6 linked regions of the Canis lupus familiaris genome follow. The protein of the gene in region 2 interacts with the protein of the main gene of each other region in a pairwise test. Links are inferred from orthologs where the notes say so. Each region holds a gene or a part of one and is shown on either strand. Other genes may lie near its edges.

Region 1 (3,954 bases), on a different chromosome or scaffold from region 2:
ATTGTATCATACATACAATCATATGTATTAGAATCATGCAACTTGATTTTTATTCTTAATGTCACCTTAATTTCTGACAAGGCAGCTCATCACAAGCTATTTCAAGTAGAACTGGATGCTAAAGAGGCTATCTGCAAATGAGGTCAAAATTCCAGAAACTCCTACCACTCATTTTCCAACTTGGTCTTACAGCAATTCTTATAGACTATGTCCCTATTCTAGCCTTCTGGGTATTGGTTGCCCATCCAATGTGTGCTACAATGAACAGCAATGTTTGGTAGGCCACACTATTCACGAAGCACCACTGAGTAAATAATTAGGAGTTGGAGTGGGCCAAAGTAGGAGCAGTAGTCCAGAGACAAGTACTTAGACTTAGATCTGCCATTAGCTGTATAAGCCTGATGCAGTCACTGCATTCTTCAACTGACTAGACTGCCAAAGGACATGATCCCACCCACACCTCTCCACAAAGGCTCACTCTGAAAGCACTCTGTGAAGTCAAAAGGGGAAAAAAAATTCAACACAATACAAACAATAGTTCTAGGATTTAGAACAGGGGAGAAAATGATTAAGAAGTTAAAAAAGAAGTTATATTGGAAAAACACAGGCTAAGTTAAAAAAGGTAGCTAAGATTATTGAGGGGAAGGGGGGGCACAGACACCAAGGGCATCAATAACTCCAACCTACTCTTTTTTCCTTTTGTTTTTTATCCCTGATGCTTTGTCCTGCCTTTAGTGGTCCAGTTTTGAATAAAAGAGAGATGGTAACAGGTCACAGGTAAACACCCTGCTCCTCCCATTCTAAATATTCCAAGTATCGCTTCTAAAAATAATCAAAAAGTAATTTACATGTCTACAACTATGTTTCACATGGCTAGTGAATACTGAATACTGGTTACTTGAGGCCCTTGCCTGTGGACTGTAAGAATTGTCTAGATACATTATTGCAATGTACACAAGTACCAAATCATTACAAAGTAATCAGTTATATGTCAAAATAAATAAAAAGGTCTGAGGATTGCCTGGATAGTCTAGATGCAAACATAACACAGTACTGCTGTGCGATTTCAGTGCTTCCATCCACATTTATAACTAATATATAATTTTGTAAATTAGTACTAATTTTGCTGTATTAAACAGGCAGGTTTAATATATATTTGTTAGATTCTGACACGTGAAGGATAAATGATACCATAGCCAGTACAGATGAAGGTGCCACAAGCACTTTAATAGGAAAAACAACTGGCAAATAACCAGAGGGCAACAGTAGTGGCACTCCCAACTCCACTCAGTACCATATTCATGCTGTAAGCTTGTTTTACCTCATTCCTAATGTTACATTAATCTAAATTTGAATTTTACTGGATGTGTAATTTCACTTGGCTTTATAACCTGTACATGTATTGTTTTATAGTCTAATAAGAGTTTCATATCTGGTTTTATGCTTGTGTATATTTAAATGACAATAATAATTTGAGTCAAAGGGTCTCCCATGTTACTGAAGTTTGAGAAAAATTTGCAAAATGTGTAAACCCCTCAAGTCCTGCTGGTTTTAGATGAAGATATTCGCTGAATACTTACTATGTGCAAGGGCTGTGCTAGCTGCTGTAATTCATGATGTCTGCACCGGTAATACCAGATACTTCATAAATACACACAATCAGGGATTGATTTAGCATGACGTCTTTCCCCCTTTAGTACTTTAATATCGTTTGTGAAATGGGTCTAAGATCACTTTATTTGGAAGGCAATAGGCGCAGCGATTTTCAGCAGGTCAGTACTTGGCTTCCTCTGGCACTGGGGCTTCAAGTTAGGACGGGAGCGGAGAGAGCAATTTCATACACAGAAAACGGGCTAAGGAGCCGGTTACCTGAGTCTCTCAATCGAGCCAGTTCCTGCCGTCGTTTCTTTCGTTTCGCCTTTTTCAGGGCAGCCCTGTACTTTTTGTGGCTGGAAAATTGAAACAGGCACACACTAGCGTCAATTGACCGCACCTGCGCCGCTGCCAGAGCGTGCTCACGCGCCCCCCGTCGCCCCCCCGTCGCCTCCCGCCCCCTAGCCGCTCTGAGTGACAGGAAATCGCTCCGGTGCCCGGGAGTGAATTCTTATTTCCCGTGCTTTAATTACGGAACACGTATTCACTATCGCCTCGCCATTCCATGACCAGCCGGCAGGTCTTTTCCATTCCGCCACCTGTTCACCTCCTCGCATTACCTCAGCCCACAGGCGCCCCTGACAGTCCGGGGTGCATCAAGGGGAGGGCTCGAGCGGCAGCAGTGCCTCGCCTGCTTGGCCCAGCTCCCCTTTCCTTCCGGCTTGCACATCCTTCATCACCAGGCTCGGCTGGCCCCGTCCCGTCTTCTCAGCGGCTCATTACCCCCCCAACCCAGCTTACCTTGGTTTCTCCGGAAACATCATCTTCTCGGGAGCCGCCATCTTGCCAGGGCCACCACACCCCCAGCACCCCACCCGTAGAGGTGGCCGGAAGAGGCGGGATTAAGAGCAAGGGCGCGGCCGCGCGCAGGCGCAAGGGGGGGTCGGGGGGGGGAGCGTGCCTCCGCCGGGGAGGACCAAGTACGGAAGACGCCAGGTTCCGGGGGGCGGGTAGTCTTCCAGAACGCCCACCAACAAATGTCTTCTTCCCGAAAATTCTTTCGTGTCCCTGAAAGTAATTCTTCCCTCCTAGCGCTCCCCCACTGCCTTATCACTGCCTGCCCCCACACCATAGCAGTCTGTCTTGTGGCCAGGAAGTTAAAGTCCCATTTCTTTCTCGTTCCCATCCACTCACGAAACCTCGTCCCACTACGTCACTCGCCTTCCGCGGGCCCACCTATCAGCCCCTCAGACGAACTCCAGACTCCGCCCCGTTCTCGTCGTACCTGCTACCTCAGAAGGGAAACCCAACACCTGGGCTGTAAACGCCTGACTTCTGCTCCCAAGGAATGTGCTGTCTAGAGGCACAAAAGAACCGACACATTGATAAATATGGTAGAGGGAACGTAGTTTACTTAACAGGCCACCGGGGATTCAGGGAGAACTTTCTGATGCCTGAGTTTTCAGGAAGGTAACGGCGAGATTCCCGGGTGGGAATGGCAAATGCGCATAAGCAAAGGCACTGAGAAGTGGAGCAATGTGGAATTGGTCGCAACCGCAAAAATTTTTGACCATCGAATTTAAAGGGAAGTTCCAGAGTATCAGGGAACACAGCGAGTTCGGATCCCTGGTGGCTCAGCGGTTTAGCGCCGCCTTCGGCCCAGGGCGTGATCCTGGGGTCCTGGGATCGAGTCCCACGTTGGGCTCCCTGCATGGAGCCTGCTTCTCCCTCTGCCCGTGTCTCTGCCTCTCTCTCTCTCTCATAAATAAATAAAATATTTTAAAAAAGCAACAGCGGTTGAGGTGGCTTAGGCCTGGGTTATGTAGAACGGCCTAGCAAATTATGCTAAGAAGCGTTAATTACGTTCTGTAAGCAACAGGAAACCATCTAAAAGCTTTTAAGTTGAGGTTTGTTGTCCCATTCATGTCTTAGGTAAATTACTCTGGTTTGCAATATAAAGCTGCAATATCACAATCTAGATGAGACATTAAACTGGGACAGTGAAAATAGGATTGAGAAAGTAAAATCAGCCCTGTCAATAATCAGACTGTGATGTACATATACAAGGGCAAAGACAAGAACAAGAAAAAAGAATGCTTCTCTTGAGGACATGCTGTAGCTACAGAATGATTAACAACCTCCATATTTTGAGGAAGATTGGATAACTTCCCTGGCCTAGCTTTGTTCCTTTCTCCTCCAACTCAAAATCACTGAGCTACCCAATTACTAAACTGCACCTGCTTCTCCTAGTCCATCCTTGGAATCACTCAGCAAACCCCCAAACTGCATAAAGCCTTGCCCTACTCCCTCTTAGAGAGATACTTGGAATAATATACCTCCAAATTAAATTTGTCTGGCTCA
Region 2 (3,500 bases):
AAGTCAATAGGCCCTTCTGCATGAGCCTGGGATGTCTTAGCCCTGCTTAAAGCCCCCCCGGTGGCTCACCACTACTCTCAGTATCTAGCCCATATTCTCTAAAGTGGTCCCCACAGACTTCTGTTTCCTCCAGAGATTGGAACTGGTGGCTCACAGGCCATATGCAAACAGATTTTATTTGACCTTGCAGAGTACTTCATACATTCAAATTAGTTGTCTAAATGCAAAACTCAAGACACTGCCTTTAAGAAGCTTGGAGCTTTACAAGGAGAGAAGTGGAAGCCTAGGCTAAGATCAAGGCTGGAAATGGGTGGTATACAGTAGGTGCTCAAATACTCAGAGGGGAACAGGGATGTGGCTGTGAGGGAGGGATTCAAAATGCCCTGCTGCCTTTCTATTGTAATTAAGACCCCTGGAATTCTGTGCAGTTGTGGGATGATGCTGTACGCAGCAGATGCTCACTATGAACTTGCTGGAATGAATTTGGGTCTTGAGTGACCAGACCCCCTCAGCCCACCTGACCTTTGAAACTCCTGCTCTTCCTGGCCAGCGTGTCCTGGGTGGTCCCCTAGGTCTGGGGTCTGAAGCCCAGAGTCAGTTGAACAGGTGGGATGGAATTTTGCAAGGGTGGAGATATGGGCTTGGGAACAAAACAGATTTGGGTTCAGACTCAGCTCCCCCATCTCCAAAATGGGCATGATACCTTCCTGATATCTCTCTTGTCCTGAGAGTCCTGAGTGGCACCCATGGGCGCGAGGCAGACATCCATGCTTCCTCTCACCCCTCACCCCTCCTCACTCTCTGTGCCCTGAAGGGTGTTCTGAGGAACAGCCATGTCTACCCTGTACCCGTCTCTGGAGGACCTGAAGATGGACCAAGCCATTCAGGTAAGCCACTGGGCATGTGTTAGTCTAGGCCCTCGTGGGCCCTTTGTGATTGTCCCAGGGTGAGTAAGGGAGGCTTGTCTTGAAAGGTGCTGGGTGTTGCAGGTCACCACTGCAGGGCCTGCTGGTGGACAGGAGGCTAAGGCAGTGGAGTTACAGCAGGAGTGGAGAAGGCCAAGCAGCTGCAGATAGGCCTGTGCGTCCCAGCACTTCCTCCATCCCCGTTCAGGTAGACGCCACACTGTAGACAGGCTTCCAGAGTAGACCCCTTGGGCATGGCATGTGGCCTGCTCATCCCCAGAAGCTTCTTCCTTCCATCCACCTTCCATCCACCTGCAGTTCCAGTGGGTTTTGAGAATTTGGGACTTGTCGACTGAGAATTTCGTTGGGAGGTGGGTCTTGATGTTCTGGATGCCTCACGTAGCAAGCGGGTCATGACATTTGGTGGGTTGGGCGCTACAGGGAGAACCTTCCCCAGAAACATGGACATCTGCAGAGACCACATTTACACATCTCCGAGTTCCGTTGGATGCGCCACCCTACCCTAGGCCTGCCAGCATAATTAAGGCCCTGACCCTCAGCCCCAGGGAGCCCCAAGCTCCAAGGTCTGCGGGTCCTGGCCACAGCTGATCAGTGCATCTCACCTCTCCCCAGGCCCAGGCCAGAGCTGCAGCCAGGATGCCCGCCCTGCCAGTCTCCCAACCTTCAGGTGAGCGAGCCGGGGTGGGGTGCTCCTGACTGACAGTGACCTCTTGTGGCCACTTCCAAGCACTGCCTCTTGCCTGCCGCCCTGCTGTGGGCTTCCTGCACATTTTACCCCCGCCAGAACCCTCTGAGGGGACCCTGAGAATTCTGTGGCTTAGTGAGAAGACCAAATCCTCTGATGTGGGACTAACTTCTATGGCCAAGTGAGGAGACCGGGATGTTTGTGGTGGCCCCCAGAGATGATGGCAGTCCTGATTCAGGTCCTGTGGCAGCTACCTTGACCACAGGCCCACTCTTTCCCTCCTCACTGTGCATTTTCCTGGGAGCTGCCCTGGGGTCAGATGCCTGCCTCCCACAGCCCGCCTCTCCCCATCCCGTGGATTTCCTAGGAGCCGGGGCCTCACGTCCCCAGCACCAGCCCTGTGCTTGGTGTCGCATGTCTGGCTGGTGCCAAATAAAGTCTGTTGCGTTGAACAGCCAAGTGGTTCGTACATGAGGGATTCTGTGTCCCAGGCTGCTCCTGGCGAGATCACTGCCCCTCAGCCCTCCTGAGGGGAGAACCCACATCACCAGCGAGTGTTCCCTTGCCCTCTCAGGAGTAAACAGTGTCCCTGGGCCCTGTTTATTAATACAGCTGAGTGACACGGGGGAGCCAGGCAGGCGTGGCCAAGCACGCACCCCTGAGTAACACCTCTCCTCTTCCTTCCCTTCCCTTCCCTTCCCTTCCCATCAGTTTTGTACCCGAGCCTGGCGGACTTGGAAAATTATATGGGTCTTTCCCTCTCCAGCCAAGAAGTCCAGCAGAACCTGCTTCAGCTTCCAGAAGGTGCTGGTGTAGGTATTCTTCTCTTGCCTGATGTGGGCACAGAAATGTTCCAACTTGCCCTCCTTGGTTTCGCCGTTTGCACAGACTGGAAGCTCCTGCTCCCTGGCGTGCCTGCGGCTCTGTTTCTTGATGGCACTTCTCATTTTGACCCGTCATTAAAAGTGCTGTGGGGTTTCCTGCAGTCTTGGGCAGAGCTGGAGGACCACTGCCTGCCCCTTGACCTCTGGCTTCGGGCTGCTGGATGAGAAGGGAGGCGTTAAACCCAGCCTGAGCCTGGAGGCATCTAATGTAGGAGCGCCTGTGCCTTGAGAGCTGTTGCCTGGATGGCAGAGCCGAGAGGGGGAGCAGCTTGTCACCCAGCTCTGGTCCCCAAATTAAACCACAATGCTTGCTTGATTCCTGCTCTCCATGGTTTTGGGGAGCAAGAGACATCATGACACTGAAATATTCCCTCCTGAAAATACGCTCATTCAGAGACCCAGTGCCCACCCAGACCCCCTCCCAGTGGGCTCCAGCATCCCCACGGGCCGTTGGTCAGCGTGCTTGTCTGCTGTCCTGTCCCCAGGCTGCTGAAAATTGGTGGCAGAGCACAACCCCAAGTCCTGTTGAGGCTGAAGGGTTTCGTGAAGTGAAGGGAGTGAGGATGAAAACTGCCACAGCCACACACACACACACACACACACACACACACACACACAGCCACTGGCAGATGAGGGTCTGACAGGAGAAAGGCCACCAGGAAGGGGACACGTGGGGCCTGGGGTGTTTCCCCACAATAACCCCCCATAGTCATGCTGTGAAATACAAACTTCGAAGCAAAGAAAGTCCCATGGTGTATACTTCCCTTGTCAGCCTTTGACTGAATTTCTCTTCGTTCCAATAATGAGGACGTGAGTGCATTTCACTGAAATGTTGATACAAATATGACAGGTGGATTCATTTTTATAGCTAAAAGTTTTATTTTTAACTTTTTATTTTTCAATAATCATGAACTCCTGGGAAGCCACAAAGACAGTATAGAGAAGGGCACAGAAAGCTGTACCCTCCAGCGAGTGTTCCTAATGGTTATGCAGGAAGTGGCTGCA
Region 3 (4,098 bases), on a different chromosome or scaffold from region 2:
GTGTTAAAAAGGGGAGGAGGAGCTGATTCCTGCACAGCAGAAGCTCCAGTCAAGGTTCCAGAGACATATTTCTAGTTCCTATAGCACCATTTTGGGCAAAGACTATCATTTCCTTTTTTTTTTTTTTTAAGATTTATTTATTTATTTATGAGAGAGAGAGAGAGGCAGAGACACAGGCAGAGGGAGAAGCAGGCTCCATGCAGGGAGCCCAATGTGGGACTTGATCTCGGGTCTTCAGGATCACACCCTGGGCGGAAGCCGGTGCTAAATCGCTGAGCCACCCGGGCTGCCCAAGACTATCATTTCCTTATTGAAAAGCATTGAGCGCTATATGTAGGTGCGAAGTTTCCTGGATGGGAGTGAAGGATGCAAGTGCAATGAGATCAACTATGCTTCATTTAAAGGAAAGAAGGAGGGAAAGAGGAAGGAAGGAAGGAAGGAAGGAAGGAAGGGAGGGAGGGAGGGATTAGAACTGAATCAGAGAGATCCCTGTTTTCTTCTGACTCGCAGAGATGTCACAGGAGGGAGACAGGGGGGATGTGGTCAGATGAAAACCCCCTCACCCTCACCCCCCCACCCCCCGCAAACATTTAATGCTCCGCTGTGCCCTGTGAGCTGCCCTTCAAGGGTGTCGGGTGGGGTATTCCTCACCCGCTGCCACGGCGGCCTCTGCTGACCAAACGCATTCGCCCTCTTGCTGGCCCCGGGAGAAACCCTCCTCCGGGAACAGGGCTCTTCCTCTCTGGGGACCGTGACCCTGGGGGTCCGGGCCTCCCGGCCTTGGAAAAGGCCCCCACCTAGGGGGGAGGGAGAGGGCAGGCCACCCACGCCGGGCAGCCTCACCCATCAGGCCTCGGCGAGTCCCCAGGGGCCGCGAACGAGGCGCTCGCAGCCGGGGCCTGGGGCAGCAGCAGCACCTTCACCTGCGAACCCGTTAGAAATGCGAAGCTCCCTGGGCGGCCCCAGCCCGCCGTGCCGAGCCCCGCGCAGGTGGGAGGGGCGGAGCTTCAGCGGCCGCAGGTGCGCGGGGCAGCCGGCGGGAAGGGCTGGGGAGCAGACTGCGGCAGGAGGGCCCCTCCTTTAAGGCTGGGGAGGCGCCCCTGCCGCGCCCCGCGGGCCTCCTGACAGCCGACCCGACGCGGCCCCTTTCCAGCCCCGGCGACCTCGGCGCCCAGCGCCCCGCCTCCCGCAGGCCGGGGGCTCGGGATCGGGGGGGAGGGATGCGGGGCGAGCGGGGCTGGGGGCCCGGCTCTGCTCACCGCGGACGCCCCTCCCGCACAGCCGCCGCGCCCCCCGCGCCCCGCGCGCCCCCCGCGCCCCCCGCGCCCCGCGCCATGAACCTCAGCAGCAGCAGCAGCGCTGCCGAGAAGGCGCCCGCAGCCGTGCTCTGGGGTGAGCGAGGGCCCGGCTGCTCCCGAGCCGGGTGGGGGAGCGGGGCGGGGAGCCGGGGAGCCCCCTCCCCCTGAGCCGGCCCCCTCGCTCCTCTCCCTTCTCAGGCTGTGAGCTCAACCAGGAGAAGCGGACCTGGACGGTCAAACCCCAGAAGGAGGGCAAGCAGGACTCGAAGCTGTTGCTCTGTACGGTGGGTGCCGCGCACCCCCCCCCCCCGCCCCCGGGAAGGGCGGCCGCCTGCAGCCCGAGGGGCCTGCACAGCTGCGGGGGGCGGGGGCAGGCGGACTCTCGGGGACCAGACCGCTCCGGTGGTGAGGGGGCCTGTCTTCAACCGCCCTCAGATTTGCTTGGGGGAGAAAGCCAAAGAAGAGATGAACCTGGTGGAAATCCTGCCCCCGGCCAGCCCGGACGACAAACAGGCCAAGCCCATCACCATCGCCTCGCTGCAGGCCTCCGTGCTACCCATGGTGAGCCTCTCCCCGCCGGCTTCGGGAGACTGCCCGCCCTGGGCACCTGCTCAGGCCTCACCCCCGGGGAGCGGATGGGCAGGCCCAGAGAGGGGGTGCAGGCCTCCTGCAGGGGGGCAGCGCTGCCAGAGAGGCCCTGTAGCCCATGACCGAGAGCCCTGGGTTTGGAGGCAGAGAGCCCCACTTCCATCCCAGCCCACCCTTTCCTAGCTGCGTGACCTTGGGCAGGTCCACCGCTCTTCAGAATCACCTTTTTTTTTTTAAAGTTTTTGATGCTGCTGAGAGGACACTGTTGATGACTTCCATACTGATTGTCCATCCAGAAACTCTCTTATTTCTAATAATTTATCATGAGTTCTCTTTGCAAATCATCATTGTTAATGGCATTTTTGTGTGTCTTTTTTAATCTGACTATGCTGCCTAGGGTCTCCAGTATAATATCGGGTAAGATTATAACGGTAAATGTCCTTGTTTCATTCTTGGTGTGTGTATGTGTGTGTGTGTGTGTGTGTGTATACACACATATATATCGTGTGTATATATATATCTTGATATATATATCATGTATATTTTTATAGCTTATTTATTTGAGAGTGTGTGTGAGCATGGTGGGGAGGGGCAGAGGGAGAGGAAGAAAAAATCTTAAGCAGACTTGGAGCTGGTGCAGGGCTGACCCTGAGATCATGACCTGAGCTGAAACCAAAAGTCTGCTGCCTAACTGAGCCACGCAGGTGCCACTCTATGTATATTTTGAAAGGAATGCTTCTAATGTTTCTCCACCATGTTTCTCCACATGTTTGGTAAGCCTAGTCCTGCTCTGCCTTTTAAAACTGGGATTTCTTCATTTTAATCGTAAATGGTTATCAAATGCTTTTCTATTCAGGTCACCATAAGCTCTTTTTTCTTTAACCTGTTAATGTGGTAAGTTATATTAATAGAATACTATTCAACCAACTTTGCATTCCTGACAAACACTACTTGATCATACTATAAATTTCTACATTTGCTTTGCTAATATATTAAAACTTATATTTAAAAAAAAACCTTATATACTCAGGAGTTTATAGGCCAACCACACTTATCTTATTTGAGTGTCAAGCGATACTAGCCTCTCGAACTAGGGGATGTAGTGTTCTCTCCTTCTATGTGGTGGAACAGTGAATGTGAGACCAATGTCCTCTGTCCCTAATCCGGGAGGTTTATCTGTAAAACTGCCCTCAAACCCTTTTTTCCCTTCTATCTATGAGATTTCCCTAGACCATTCCTTGCCAGGGTTTTAAAGACCATTTATGCAAATGAACACTCTGGTATTTATTTCTGCCACTCTCTTTCATGCTCCAAATCCTCTGTCCAACTCAATATATTTAATAGCTATCTAGGAGAGAACCCATACTTAACAAATCTAAATCCAAACTCTTGATTGTTATCTATAATCTCTTCCCCCACCCCCAAACCTGATCCTCTCCCAGGATATAATTGCTCTTCCAGTTAATCAGGACAAAAACTTCCTTCTCAAACACTGCATATCACCAGCAAATCCTGTTGGCTCTACCTTGAGAGTATACACCAGTCTGACCACCTCTCACCACCTCCCTTCTATACCCTGGTCTGGATGACCATTACCTCTTGCTCAATTTTATTGCAGGGCCTCCTATCTGGTCTACCTACCTCAACCCTTGGTTCCTTATAGTCTGTCTATTCCAGGGTTCGACAAACTGCAGGATTAAACCCAGCCCAATGCCTATTTTTGTAAATAAAGTATTATTGAAACACAGCCACACTCTTATGCCTGCTATTTTCCCTTGGTAACAGCAGAACTGAGTCATCTCCACAGAGACCGTATGGTTCATAAGCCTTAAATATGTATCAAATACAGAAAAAATTTCCCCAACCCCTGGTCTATTCTATGCACAGCTGCCAGAAGGATCCCTGTATTGTTTATTGTTTTGTTTTGTTTTTTAGCATTTAAGTGATCTCTACACCCAATGTGGGGCTCAAACTAAGACCTCAAGATCAAGAGTTATATATTCTTCGGACTGAACCGGCCAGGTACCCCTAGAAGGATCCTTTTAAAAGTCAGACCATGTTGCTTCTCTGCTAGAACAGTTAGGTCAGTGGTTTCCCATTTCACTTAGGATGAAATCCAAGATCATTTATGTTCTAGCCCGCAAAAACCTCTCTCAATTCCAACCTCTGCTACTCTCTGCTCCCTAACCCTATTCAAACCACGCTGGCTTCC
Region 4 (3,938 bases), on a different chromosome or scaffold from region 2:
CTTCTGAAAATTCAGTCCCTCTAAGGGAAGAGGGCAAGCACTGCCTTAAAAATTTAAACTTCCACAAATCTCACAAAACTAAGTAAATGTGAAAGAACCTTAAACTTTCAAATGGATGTTTTTGGTAAATGTGTAACATTTATACTTTTGGCAATTTGGAAAGCTGAAAGCCAGTTGCATTAAGACGTTATGATACCCTATCCACAGGGCTCAGATATTACATATTTCAACTTTTAGCCCACCGTGTAAAGACATGATGGCATGCTTCATTGGGCTAAATAAAGATCCCCTTTTCCTTTCCTGGCTCAGGATAGCCACAGAGATTTTTTTAAAGATTTTATTTATTCATGAGAGATGGAGAGAGAGAGAGAGAGAGAGGCAGAGACACAGGCTGAGGGAGAAGCAGGCTCCCATGCAGGGAGCCCGACACGGGACTCATCCCAGAACTCCAGGATCACACCCTGGGCTGAAGGTGGCGCTAAACCGCTGAGCCACGGGGGTTGCCCAGCCACAGAGATTCTGTGTGCTCTTCCATCTAGAGATGGGGACCCATGAAAAGAGAAAGCAGTGTTCGTGGACTAGTCAAAAGCATACTCAAGTTTTCACTCCAGTTAAGTCACTGTGATTCATTTCGGCAGACCTCTGGTCAATGCCGAGTGTGCACTGGGATCCACATGCACCCGGGTGCCTTCCCCAAAGGAGGCCAGTCCCTGTGTGAGCTTCTGACTGTCCGTTCACCTTATGATCTTCTCAGCACATGCTACAAGCCAAGAAAAAGATGATGAGTTACAGAACACGATCGCTAGCTCTCCATAAAGCCACTTCATACTAATAGTCAGAATTGCACCCAACACCTCTACAACAGGTATGATCACATTACCACCCCAGCATCTGTAAGAAATAGTGGAGGCTCAGAGAGGTTAAGTGATTAGGCTGGAGACATAGGGAGTGGCAGAGGTAGCCTGAGACAAGCTCCTGCCCTGCTCCTCTCTCTTGACTTGTCATGTTTTTCGCCGTTTGCTTGGCCACTACTCAGTGAGCAGAAGCCGGAGGCCCTCATCCCAAAAGAAAAACTAAAAAAAAAAAAAAAGAGCAAAAACAGCAAAGGCTCTACAGTGACCTTCCATTTTACACCGAGCAGAGATACCATCCTTGTCACAACTGAGGTCAGGTGTCAGAAAATGAGTCTGAGTTGAGGGGAGCAGGCAGCAATAACAAGGGGCTGGGAACTTATGAGGGACTTGGGACACCTCAGGGGTCCTCTTACCAGGATGGTGGCCCTGTTTGGTTGAATGTTGTTGACTCAGGGCCAGAGATCTGAGCTGGAGCCAGCATCTACCAATGAAAAATGACCTCAAGCTATCCTAACTTCCCAGATTCTGTTCATCTATAAAATGGGTCCAAAATCTATCTTAAGAGCTTTGTGTGGAAGATAAGAAATAGGAAAGATTCATCCTTACCCAACAGTAGAAAGTATTTCCTATGACCTATTAATTTGCCCACTCCACCACCCTGTTACCTGATACAAGGGCCTCATATTTAGTTCTAGAATTGGGTTCTAGAGTTCTTTTTAAACCTTCCTGCCTTTACATTTTTATATTGTTTATTTCTGCAAACACTACACTCCCTATTCTTTAAACATTCTCGCACAGGCATGTAGGCGCAGACCTAAACCTCAAACAGCCCACCTGTGAGGTGGGGGGGGGGGGGGGGGGGCAGGCTGGCAACCACAGCGCAATTCCCAGTGAGCCCCACGACCTCCAACAAGTCACTGTCCCCTCTTAGCTTCGGGTCCTCCCATCTGTGAAGCGAGGTGCCAGGAGCCCCTTCCAGGGGTGGAATTCCAAGACACGAAGGGTATGGCGCAAGGGAAGGACAGAGGAGTACACACTGCCTCCCATGTGGCCTCAGCCTGCGGGGTGACGAGGCTCCCCATGTGCACTCACCCTGTGAGGCAGGTACATCTATGTCCACCCAACAGATGGGCGCACCGAGGCGGGGCCAGTGGAGCCATGTCCCCCCGCCTCCCCAGAACTACATCACCAGCATCCCTTGGGTGTATCGGTATCCGTGCAAGTCTAGCGCGGGTCAGACGCGCTGTGCTAGGCTCTGGGCCTGGGGGTGCTGGGTGAGTCCCAAGGAGCCCTCCGCAGGGAGGTCAGCCGTGCAAGTACCCCCCACGCCGTTCCCCAGTCTCCCCGGAAGCAGGTGCTGCAGGCAGCCCCGTCCTGGGTGGCCAACAGGTCTGCGCGCGTGCAATCCTCGCAGCAGATCTCGGGTTCTGTGTTCGCCCCTTCGTAGACCGACAAACGGCGGCACAGGAGGAGTAACTCGCAGGTCACCCGCGGAGCTAGGGGCAGACCTGAGTCGCGGGCGGCGGCCGGGGCGCCCTCCGTCGGTCCAGGCCGCCCCGGAGGGACGCAGCCCCCCAGGCCTCGGGGAGCGCGAGCTGGCCCGCCTCGCAGCCGGCCGCAGCCCAGCCCCGCGGGGACCCTGCGCGAGGACCGTCCCGCCTCCGACCAGGCTCTTCGCCGCCCGCGGGACGAAGGCCACGGGACGGCCCGCCTCGTCCTTCCGCGGGGAAAGCCCCAGGAGGGGTCCAGCGGTGGAAACGCCGGCGCCAGCCCACCGCCCGCCCAGCCCCAGCCTCCCGCGGCGCCGCCCCTCACCTCTCCGCCGGCGCCCGCCAACGGTTTCAACCCGCCGCGAGGAGCACGTGGAGACGCAGCCGCCCGTCCCGCGCCGCAGCCGCCTCCCTCCGGGCGCCCCCCCGCGCCTGCGCCGTCCCGGCGGAAGTGACGTCCCCGGAAGCCGGAGGCGGATCCGGCCGGCCGAGGGGGCGTTGTCGGGATGGTTCCGCGGCCGGCGGCGCCCGGCGAGCGGCGCTGAGGGCGGCTGGCGGAGAGGCGGCGGCTGGCGGAGAGGCGGCGGCGGCGGCGGCGGCGGGGCGGGGAGCGGCCTCTCCGGTAGGTGCCGTCTGGCGGGAAGGCCGGCCTCGCGAGGGCGCGGCGCAGGGAGCCGGCCTAGGCCGGGGCCGCCGCCGCCGCCACTCCCGCCCCGGGCAGCCTGAGGGTCGCGCGGCGGCCGGCTGCGGTCCCGGGCTCCCCCCGCCCCGCCCCGCCCCGGGCGGGCCCTCGGCCTCCGGGGGCGGCGGCCTCGGTCGGGGGCAGCGCCCGGGCCCGCGGCGGCCCAGGTCCCGTGGAGCCGAGCGCGCGTGCCGCGGCCGCAGGGACGCCGCGCGGTCGGGGTCGGGGTCGGCGCCGGGAGGAGGGTGATCCCGGGGCGGGGGCGGCGGCGGGGGTGGGGGGGGGGGGCTGCGCCTGAAGGGCCCTGCGTGGGTCTGCCCGGCCCGCCGACGGCGGTTTTCCGGCGGCTGCGGAGGCGGGGGCCCGGCGGCGGCCTCCGGCGGGGTTTGCACTGGGGCATCCCCCGCGCCGCGCCGGGCCCGCACCCGCCCTTCTCGCCGGGACGTCCGCAGGGCCCTGGGGGGGGGAGGCGGGGGGCAGGATTCAGGCCATCACAGAAGGGATTCACCGGAACGGGCCGGGAAGAAAACGTTGTTCCAACAGAAGTGACTGACAGCGTGGCCTGGAGGTTTCAAGAGCAGGATGCTTGAGGCGCTTGGGCCCTGCGCGTCTGTTTCCATGTGCTCCCCCAGGAAATCCCCAGGAGGGGGCCTCTCTCGAGCCTGTCTCTGTAGCTCAAGCTTTCAGCCTTCACTCGGCTCACATGTCTCTTCCTCAAGAAGTCTTCCCTGACCTTCCTCCTCCAAGTTAATTTGGATTTCCCTCACTTGGTATCTCCAGGACAGCGGCGTTCTCGTCTCCCCGGAGTCCGGGGCACGAGGGTGCCAGAGCACGTGGCCCTGGGGCCCGAGACAGAGGCTGACAAAACTCAAAGGCCGAGAGACGGGTGGTGATGAAGCAAGAAAGGGACTC
Region 5 (3,500 bases), on a different chromosome or scaffold from region 2:
TTTTGTCGCTTGATGTCAGTAGATTCCATTCGGTCACTTTTTCTTTTTGATCCTTAAAAATACAATTTAAAGAAAGCATATAAAAGTATTTTAGGCATTCTATTTGTTTCACCAAAGACTGACAGATAATATGTATCAGAGAAAAAAAAAAAGGCTAATTTCTTTAAAATATTTTCTAAAATGTTAATCATTAAAAAAAGCTTGCAAATATAAATATTACACATTTGAAAAACAATAGATCACTTTTATTCATATAGAATTGGGTACCATAGTTTGTTATGATTGTACTTTGGTGTTAACAGATTCAAGGAATAAGAAAAAAAAGTCACTTTCTTAATAAATTAAATCTTTATTTAAACTTATTTTAACAAAATTTAAAAATATTACATACCCTTCTTCTCGTTTTTATCTTGTTCACTCTCTGGATTATAAAGTTCATCATCCTGTTCTGGTACTTCAGTCAAAATATCATCAAGAACATTAAGTTCTCCATCTGAAAGCAAAGAATTAAAAATAGGGAAAAATCATTACCATGAAGCATTTATCTTCTACTACTACTATGTTGGGTCTAAGTAAATATGAAAACATAACCCTCAAAGACCTTTTATTTCAGGACCAAATACAAGACTAATTCTATAAAACCATTCACAGTAAAGAACATGATACAGACCTACAAAGCCAGGAGTAGTATACACCCACCCCATAGGATATGAAAGGATAAACTACGAAAAAAGAAAATGTCAAGAACTTCTGTATCTGTATCTCATCACATAATTTCTCATTTTTCTAACTGCTCTAAAACGTACACAAAATATTAGTACAGAAATACATGCAGGTAACATAAACACACACACTTAAATAAGGATGTGTACTCAAGATACTTATTGATTACCAAGAAAAAATAATTTTAAGTAGAGGAAGATGACAGATTCAAACTTAACCAAGGTGAGTCAAATCAGTATCACAGACCACCTGGCATGATGCACACATCTGTGATATTCAAACTCTGAACCTATATGTGAGAAAATATCAAATAAACCAAAATGAAAGGTCATGCACTACAAGCAGTAAGAAATTACTCCAGATTAAAGGAGGATAAAAAAGACATGATAACTGAATAAAAAACATAACTGGGAAGCTAGTGAAATTATAATAAGGTCTATAAATATCACTGTTTCCTGATTTTGATAATACTATCATTAAGTAAATGTCCTAATTCTTAGGAAATACATACTTAAGTATTCAAGAACAAAAAAGTATTATGCCTGCAACTGACATTTGGTTCAGAAAAAGTGTCTGCATGTATCCACAGAGAAAATTAGGGGCAAATGACCTCAAGAAAAATAATATGGGAAGTCAACATTTGTGGAGTGGTTGAAAGGTAAAAAAAATAAAAATAAAAAATAATAATAATAACAATAATATTGTACTATTCTTATAGCTATTCTGTCCAAATGTCAACACACACACACACACACACACACACACACAGAGTACTTTTGTGCTACACAATCAAAAGCATTTCAGGCTGCTGATACAAACTATAAAACATGTTAACTTATTTAGACAAGAGAACTACTGACTATAACTGACATACTAATGATCATGAAAACCTGTAACTCAGTATTTGCACTGCATCCTTAATTCCTGCCACATCCAACAGAACAAAATAAATCCTAGAAATACATGCAAATATTTACTACTTTAAATTTTTTTTAATAGGGGTGCCTGGGTAGCTCAGCTGGTTAGGCATCTGCCTTCAGTTCAGGTCCTGGGACTGAGCCTCAGGTCCAACTCCCTCCTGCAGGGGCGGGGGGTGTGTCCTGCTTCTCTATCTGCCCCTGCTCATGCTCACTCTCAAATACAAAAAAATCTTTTTAAAAATAAATAAAATTGATTTTTTTTTTAATAATACACTAAAGCTAATGGTAAATGCTTTGAACCTAAGCATTCTGGTGCTTATCTTCCCAAATTTAAAGTGTGGTAAAGGGAAATATAAAGTCATGAACACTGATGAGACAGGACAATTACATTTATGGTTCCAGTCAAAAAGCAAAGCCCATTCAAAATTATAGCAAGGGCTACTGACCTGACTTAAGGTCTATAAACAGGTTAATGAAACTAAAGTATCTCCAAAGGGGGACAGAAATCAGTGACTGAAGAGAACTAAAATATTTAATGTAGGTATATGAAAGAAAACAAGGTTACACAGGGTACAGAAAAAGTAACATCTCAGTATTTGGAGTCAGACACAGTTACTGTTTAAGAGAACATCTTCCTTAGTATTTTGAGTCAACAGTTGCTGCCAAGAACATCAAGGGGGCACCTGGGTGGCTCAGCCGCTGTGCACCCTGTCAAATAAATAAATCTTAAAAAAAAAAAAAAAAAAAGAGTGGACTTTACGATTTTTCTAAAATGAATATACATACTATATGGATTTCCTTACTTTAGCTCTCTAGTCAATAAAAAAGTAAATCCAACAATCTTCACAAAAATTACATTTCTAAACCAAAAAAAAAAAAACCTATCACAATGAAATAGGCAATTAAGTAAGTATAGTGCTACACAAATCTTTCCATGAAATTACTAGCTTTGTATTACAGAATCAACCGGAAAGCCTGAACATTTAAATGAAGTTATATACTTTATATATGCTAAATCTAACACAGAATGAAGGAACTGCTCAGGTTAATTTAAATCAATGCAAATTTCAGGCATATTTAAATCATGGGTTCCCTACAAAAAGGTATTGTTTTAAAAAGTCTTAACTGTATTAAGTCAAATGCAGAGACTGGCTGCTGTTTTTAAGCTACAAATTTTTAGGACAACAAATATTAAGCAATACTTTTTTTTAACATTTGGCACTTTCACACGTATCTTATATACATATACGAAACACCTAAAGTATGGTTTATCATCTATTACTTCACAGATACATAAGTATAGGGTGGCCAAATTCATGTCTAGAGATAGATGGGTACAAGCCTACAGTTCAGGTTTTCTAAATCTAGAGTTAAATTAGATGGGGAGTATTAAAAAAAAAAAAAAAAAAAAAAAAACCTTTAAACAAAGTATAACAAAAATGCAAAATATTATTAAAGAGTCATGTTTAGGGGATCCCTGAGTGGCTCAGCGGTTTGGCGCCTGCCTTTGGCCCAGGGCGCGATCCTGGAGTCCTGGGATCAAGTCCCAAGTCGGGCTCCCAGCATGGAGCCCGCTTCTCCCTCCTCCTGTGTCTCTGCCTCTCTCTCAATCTCTGTGTCTATCATGAATAAATAAATAAATCTTTAAAAAAAAAAAAAAACTAATGTACCACAGAGCTCTGTATAATTGACATTATAGCATCTTGAAATTTACTTTAAGATCAAACACTACATCCTCACTTAACGGTCCACTTATTTTTATCCATTTTATATTTCATGATATCAATAATCGAACTGTGGGGGCAGCCCTGGTGGCGCAGCGGTTTAGCGCTGCCTGCAGCCCAGGGTGTAATCCTG
Region 6 (4,264 bases), on a different chromosome or scaffold from region 2:
ACTATTAATACATGCAAGAACTTCAGTGGATCTCAAATGAATTAATTAACCAAGTGAAAGACACTGGACTCAAAAGGTTTATAGATTCTATTCACACAACATTCTAGAAAAGGTAAAATTATAGGGACAGAAAAAAATCAGTGGTTTCCAGAGGCTGAGGGTGGGGTAAAGGGTTTACTTACAAAGGCTCATGAAGAAATTTTTCATGATAAAATTGTTCTATATCTTAATTTTGGTAATGATTATCTGACTATCGGTATCTGTCAGAATTCATAGAACTGTACATTAAAAAGGATAAATTTTGGAGCCCTTGGCTGTTGGTAGAATATGCAACTCTTGATCTTGGGATTATAAATTCAAGCCCCACAATGGGTGGAAAGATTACTTAAAAATAAAAAAATCTAAAAATAAAAATAAAAAGAGAGTGGCTCAGTTGGTTAAGCATTTGTTTCTTGATTTAGCTCAGGTCATGGACTCAGGGTCATGAGACTGAGCCCTACACTGGGTTCTGGCATGGAGCTTGCTTAAGATTCTCTCTCCCTCTGCACCCCCATGCCCCTCCCCTCCCTCACTTGCTCACACATGATCTCTTTCAATAAAAAAATGAATTTTGTTAAATGTAAATTAAACATCAGTAAACTGGATTTAAAAATGTCTATATCAGTTAACCGAGAATAATGGATGTATGCAAAAATTGAGTTGTATATTTATTATAGGAGATACAATGTGGTTTATAAGAGTAAACCTGATGGTAGCTACACTTGCACGGAGCATAGCATAATGTATAAACTTGTGGAATCAGTAGTGTATAACTGTAACATAACATTGTGTGTCAACTATACTCAAGAAAGAAAGAAAAGAAAAAAAGAGTAAACCTAATAATTATGCAAGAGCAAAGGAAATGGCCAAAAGTTATTGTTTATCCATAAAGAACACTATGAGGCCATTTAAAATGTTAAAAATGGGGATGCCTGGGTGGTTTAGCAGTTGAGCGTTTGCCTTCGGCCCAGGGCATGATCCCGGGGTCCCAGGATCGAGTCCCACATTGGGCTCCCTGTATGGAGCCTGCTTCTCTACCTGTGTTTCTGCCTCTCTCTCTGTGTCTCTCATGAATAAATAAATAAAATATTTTTTTAAAAAAAGTTAAAAATGACCTGAAAGGTTATACATTAAAATGTAAAAATGATTATCTTTGAGGTATGATTATAGCATATTTTCTCATTATCTGTATTTTCAACTTTCCTATAATGAACATGGATTGCATGTGAAATCGTAAAACAAATCATAAAAGATATTTTTCAAAGGAACATATAACTAAAGAATACAGTAGAGTGCCAAAGGCCTATAACAGGGCAGCCCTGGGGGCTCAGCGGTTTCGCACCGCCTTCAGCTGAGAGTGTGATCCTGGAGACCTGGGCTCAAGTCCCACGTCAGGCTCCCTGCATGGAGCCTGCTTCTCCCTCTGCCTGTGTCTCTGCCTCTCCCTATCTGTCTCTCATAAATAAATAAATAAATAAATAAATAAATAAATAAATAAATAAAATCTTAAAAAAAAAAACAACAACAAAGGCCTGTAACAGAAACATCTAAACCTAATATAAATAAATGCCTTACCAAAATAAGCTGAAGCTTGAGAAAAATATCAAGAACACAAATTATTTTGTGTTTTAGCTATATTTAAAGCTATTTTTATTTTTTATTTTTTTATTTTTTAAAGATTTTATTTATTTATTCATAGAGACACAGAGAGAGAGGCAGAGACACAGGCAGAGGGAGAAGCAGGCATCATACAGAGAGCCTGATGTGGGACTCGATCCAGGGTCTCCAGGATCACGCCCTGTGCTGCAGGCGGCGCCAAACGCTGCGCCACCGGGGCTGCCCCTAAAGCTATTTTTAAAGAACCAAAAAACGGATAGCTCATTATTCAGGGTGCTAGGTGAACACACCACCAATGTGATGTTGTAGGCTACGAGTAAAAGTAGGATTATTTTAATTTTGCTTCCGTCTTCACTCAAACACAATTATATGCATGATTAGAAGAGTAGAACTGAACCCCAAGATAGTGAGGGGTGGGTAACAGAGCCCTTCTATCCATTCTGAATATGTTTAAGTCACACAGCCCAAGTAACTGCTCCCTAAACATACCAGAGATTTTCCAGGTGAGATGACTGTACTGCTGCTGGTAATCTGAGAGATCCTGGCAAACAGAAGTGAAAGACTGGAAGTAGGCAAATGCAGTTTTGATTTTCAAAGTGGGGAGAAAGGTAGATTCCACAAAGTAGAACACTGAACTTGACATCCATTCCAGGCAAAATTCTGGCTAGATTTATTAAATCCATTCAGAAAGAAAAGCCCTGATCACCAACTATCAAATCATTATACCTAATACCCTTATTGGCTTTTGGGTATTTGAATTTCAATAAGGCATCTTGGAAAGTCTCTTACAACATCCTTGTGAACAAAACAGAATAACTAGGTAGATCAGTTGATCATCATGGACAACAGACTACTGTTTAATAGGTTGAAGTAAATGTATAGAGAGGTATCCAGTGATGGCTTGAGGCCTTGGTCTTCAGTTTGGACTTGTTCAACATTTTAGAAATGACTTGGGAGGGCACAGATGTGCCTATTTATCCAACCTGTAGCCGACACAAAGCTAAGAGAAAGGGCTAATACAAAAGATGACCAAATGAAGATCCAAAAAGGTCTTGAGGGCAGCCTGGGTGGCTCAGCTGGATCAGGTGGATCACTGCCTTCAGCCCAGGGCGTGATCCTGGAGACCCCAGATCAAGTCCCATGTCAGGGTCCCTCCATGGGGCCTTCTTCTCCCTCTGCCTGTGTCTCGGCCTCTCTCGCTCTCTGTGTCTCTCATGAATAAATAAATAAAATCTTAAAAAAAAAAAAAAAAAAAAGGTCTTGACAGAGTAAAACTCAGTGTCAAATCTAACAAGATGAAATTTAACAAGGGTAAAAGTAAGTCTAACACTTAAGTCCTGAAAATCAATACAAGACAGAGGAAGCCTGACTTGATGGCAATTGATCACACCTTGATTAACACTTAGGTTTTTTTTTTTTTTTTAAAGATTTTATTTATTTGAGAGAGAGAGAGAGAGAGAGAGCGCAAGAGAGCGAGCACATAATGTGGAAGAGGGGAAGATGGTGAGGGAGAAGCAGACTCTCCACTGAGCAGGGAGCCGGACATGGGGCTCGATCCCAGGACTCTGCGATTATGACCTGAGCTGAAAGCAGATGCTTACCTGACTGAACCACCCACGCATCCAACACCTAGGGTTTTTAATTAACTGAAACCACAGTTTAGGTCCAAACCTAGGAAATTAGAAAGGAGCGGGGTTTAGCTTCATAAATATTATTTTCCCTTCAGTTCCACATAAACTTTTTGACAGATTTGAAAAAGCTAACGGGCTACTTTAGGAGGTAAGTATGTCCTTCCTGAAGGTCCTCAAGCTAAAGTTAGATAATTCCCCTGGATGATGAAGACAGTACTGGAATCCAGTGGAAGGTTTAGCAGAAGAAATGACCCCAGATAGTGCCAAGATTCTACAATTTACTTACATATAAGCAGATGTAATTACAATTAACAAACTGAAAGTAATTTCATTTCAATTGATTTAAAGTTAACTCCCTGAAAGATCTGCTGAATAAGAAGTTCAAATTTAGGCTGTCTCTCTCTCTCTTTTTTTTTCTCTTTTATTTCCTCCCTCCCCTCTACTAGTCCAGAGTCTTAAAAAAAGAACAACAGTACTTTCTCAACTTCTTATAACCAATTTAAAAAAAAAAAAGTCTAAAACTTGTTATTATGGAATATGTGCTTTTTATAAATAACATTAAAACTTTCTGATGAACACAAAATGATAAGTAATGGTTCCTCTTGTTTCTCCCCCCAAAATATTCCCCAAACTCTACCAGATTCCCCTAAATGCTAAAAGTCTCCTTCTCCAACTCCCTGAGGATTTACTCTGTATACCATGACTACTTTTATTATACACCATTTGTTTTCTTGCCAACAAGACAAGAAGCTCCTAGAGGTAAGATTTGTCTTTTATTTTTCTGTGTAGCTCATGTACAAAATACAGGCATTCCATAGAAAAACAGTATTTGTTCAACTTTCTATTACTTCTGAAATAATAGAAATACTCTTTAGATGCTAAAAGTCTTTCACTTCATATTTAAGTGGACATTGCTTGGTTTTGTCACCCTAGTGGCAAATTATTATCTATTTTAAAATTTAAAATAATTTAAAATT

The links.
Region 1: the proteins of SDCBP2 (region 2) and ZRSR2 interact in binary tests that used the Homo sapiens proteins (3 or more experiments, as listed by UniProt). The two-hybrid records come from large-scale screens. The link is inferred for Canis lupus familiaris from reciprocal best matches to the Homo sapiens genes SDCBP2 and ZRSR2.
Region 3: the proteins of SDCBP2 (region 2) and NPM2 interact in binary tests that used the Homo sapiens proteins (3 or more experiments, as listed by UniProt). The two-hybrid records come from large-scale screens. The link is inferred for Canis lupus familiaris from reciprocal best matches to the Homo sapiens genes SDCBP2 and NPM2.
Region 4: the proteins of SDCBP2 (region 2) and LYAR interact in binary tests that used the Homo sapiens proteins (3 or more experiments, as listed by UniProt). The two-hybrid records come from large-scale screens. The link is inferred for Canis lupus familiaris from reciprocal best matches to the Homo sapiens genes SDCBP2 and LYAR.
Region 5: the proteins of SDCBP2 (region 2) and YTHDC1 interact in binary tests that used the Homo sapiens proteins (3 or more experiments, as listed by UniProt). The two-hybrid records come from large-scale screens. The link is inferred for Canis lupus familiaris from reciprocal best matches to the Homo sapiens genes SDCBP2 and YTHDC1.
Region 6: the proteins of SDCBP2 (region 2) and ZCCHC10 interact in binary tests that used the Homo sapiens proteins (3 or more experiments, as listed by UniProt). The two-hybrid records come from large-scale screens. The link is inferred for Canis lupus familiaris from reciprocal best matches to the Homo sapiens genes SDCBP2 and ZCCHC10.

What each region holds. Positions count from the first base shown.
Region 1 is NC_049260.1:12,088,425-12,092,378, reverse strand, and holds the start of ZRSR2 (U2 small nuclear ribonucleoprotein auxiliary factor 35 kDa subunit-related protein 2), read right to left. Parts: upstream 2,801-3,954; 5' UTR 2,436-2,800; coding exon 2,395-2,435; intron 1,950-2,394; coding exon 1,870-1,949; intron 1-1,869. UniProt on the Homo sapiens protein: Pre-mRNA-binding protein required for splicing of both U2- and U12-type introns. Selectively interacts with the 3'-splice site of U2- and U12-type pre-mRNAs and promotes different steps in U2 and U12 intron splicing.
Region 2 is NC_049245.1:20,190,828-20,194,327, forward strand, and holds part of SDCBP2 (syntenin-2), read left to right. Parts: intron 1-814; 5' UTR 815-833; coding exon 834-887; intron 888-1,538; coding exon 1,539-1,593; intron 1,594-2,322; coding exon 2,323-2,423; exon of another isoform or gene 2,424-2,427; intron 2,428-3,500.
Region 3 is NC_049246.1:35,389,673-35,393,770, reverse strand, and holds the start of NPM2 (nucleoplasmin-2), read left to right. Parts: upstream 1-1,298; 5' UTR 1,299-1,334; coding exon 1,335-1,392; intron 1,393-1,496; coding exon 1,497-1,582; intron 1,583-1,733; coding exon 1,734-1,859; intron 1,860-4,098. UniProt on the Homo sapiens protein: Core histones chaperone involved in chromatin reprogramming, specially during fertilization and early embryonic development. Probably involved in sperm DNA decondensation during fertilization.
Region 4 is NC_049224.1:70,304,479-70,308,416, forward strand, and holds the start of LYAR (cell growth-regulating nucleolar protein), read right to left. Parts: upstream 2,801-3,938; 5' UTR 2,670-2,800; intron 1-2,669. Other genes in the region: ZBTB49 (zinc finger and BTB domain-containing protein 49), read left to right, coding at 3,919-3,938. UniProt on the Homo sapiens protein: Plays a role in the maintenance of the appropriate processing of 47S/45S pre-rRNA to 32S/30S pre-rRNAs and their subsequent processing to produce 18S and 28S rRNAs. Also acts at the level of transcription regulation.
Region 5 is NC_049234.1:59,679,523-59,683,022, reverse strand, and holds part of YTHDC1 (YTH domain-containing protein 1), read right to left. Parts: intron 494-3,500; coding exon 392-493; intron 53-391; coding exon 1-52. UniProt on the Homo sapiens protein: Regulator of alternative splicing that specifically recognizes and binds N6-methyladenosine (m6A)-containing RNAs.
Region 6 is NC_049232.1:21,275,405-21,279,668, forward strand, and holds the start of ZCCHC10 (zinc finger CCHC domain-containing protein 10), read right to left. Parts: upstream 2,801-4,264; 5' UTR 2,340-2,800; coding exon 2,146-2,339; intron 1-2,145.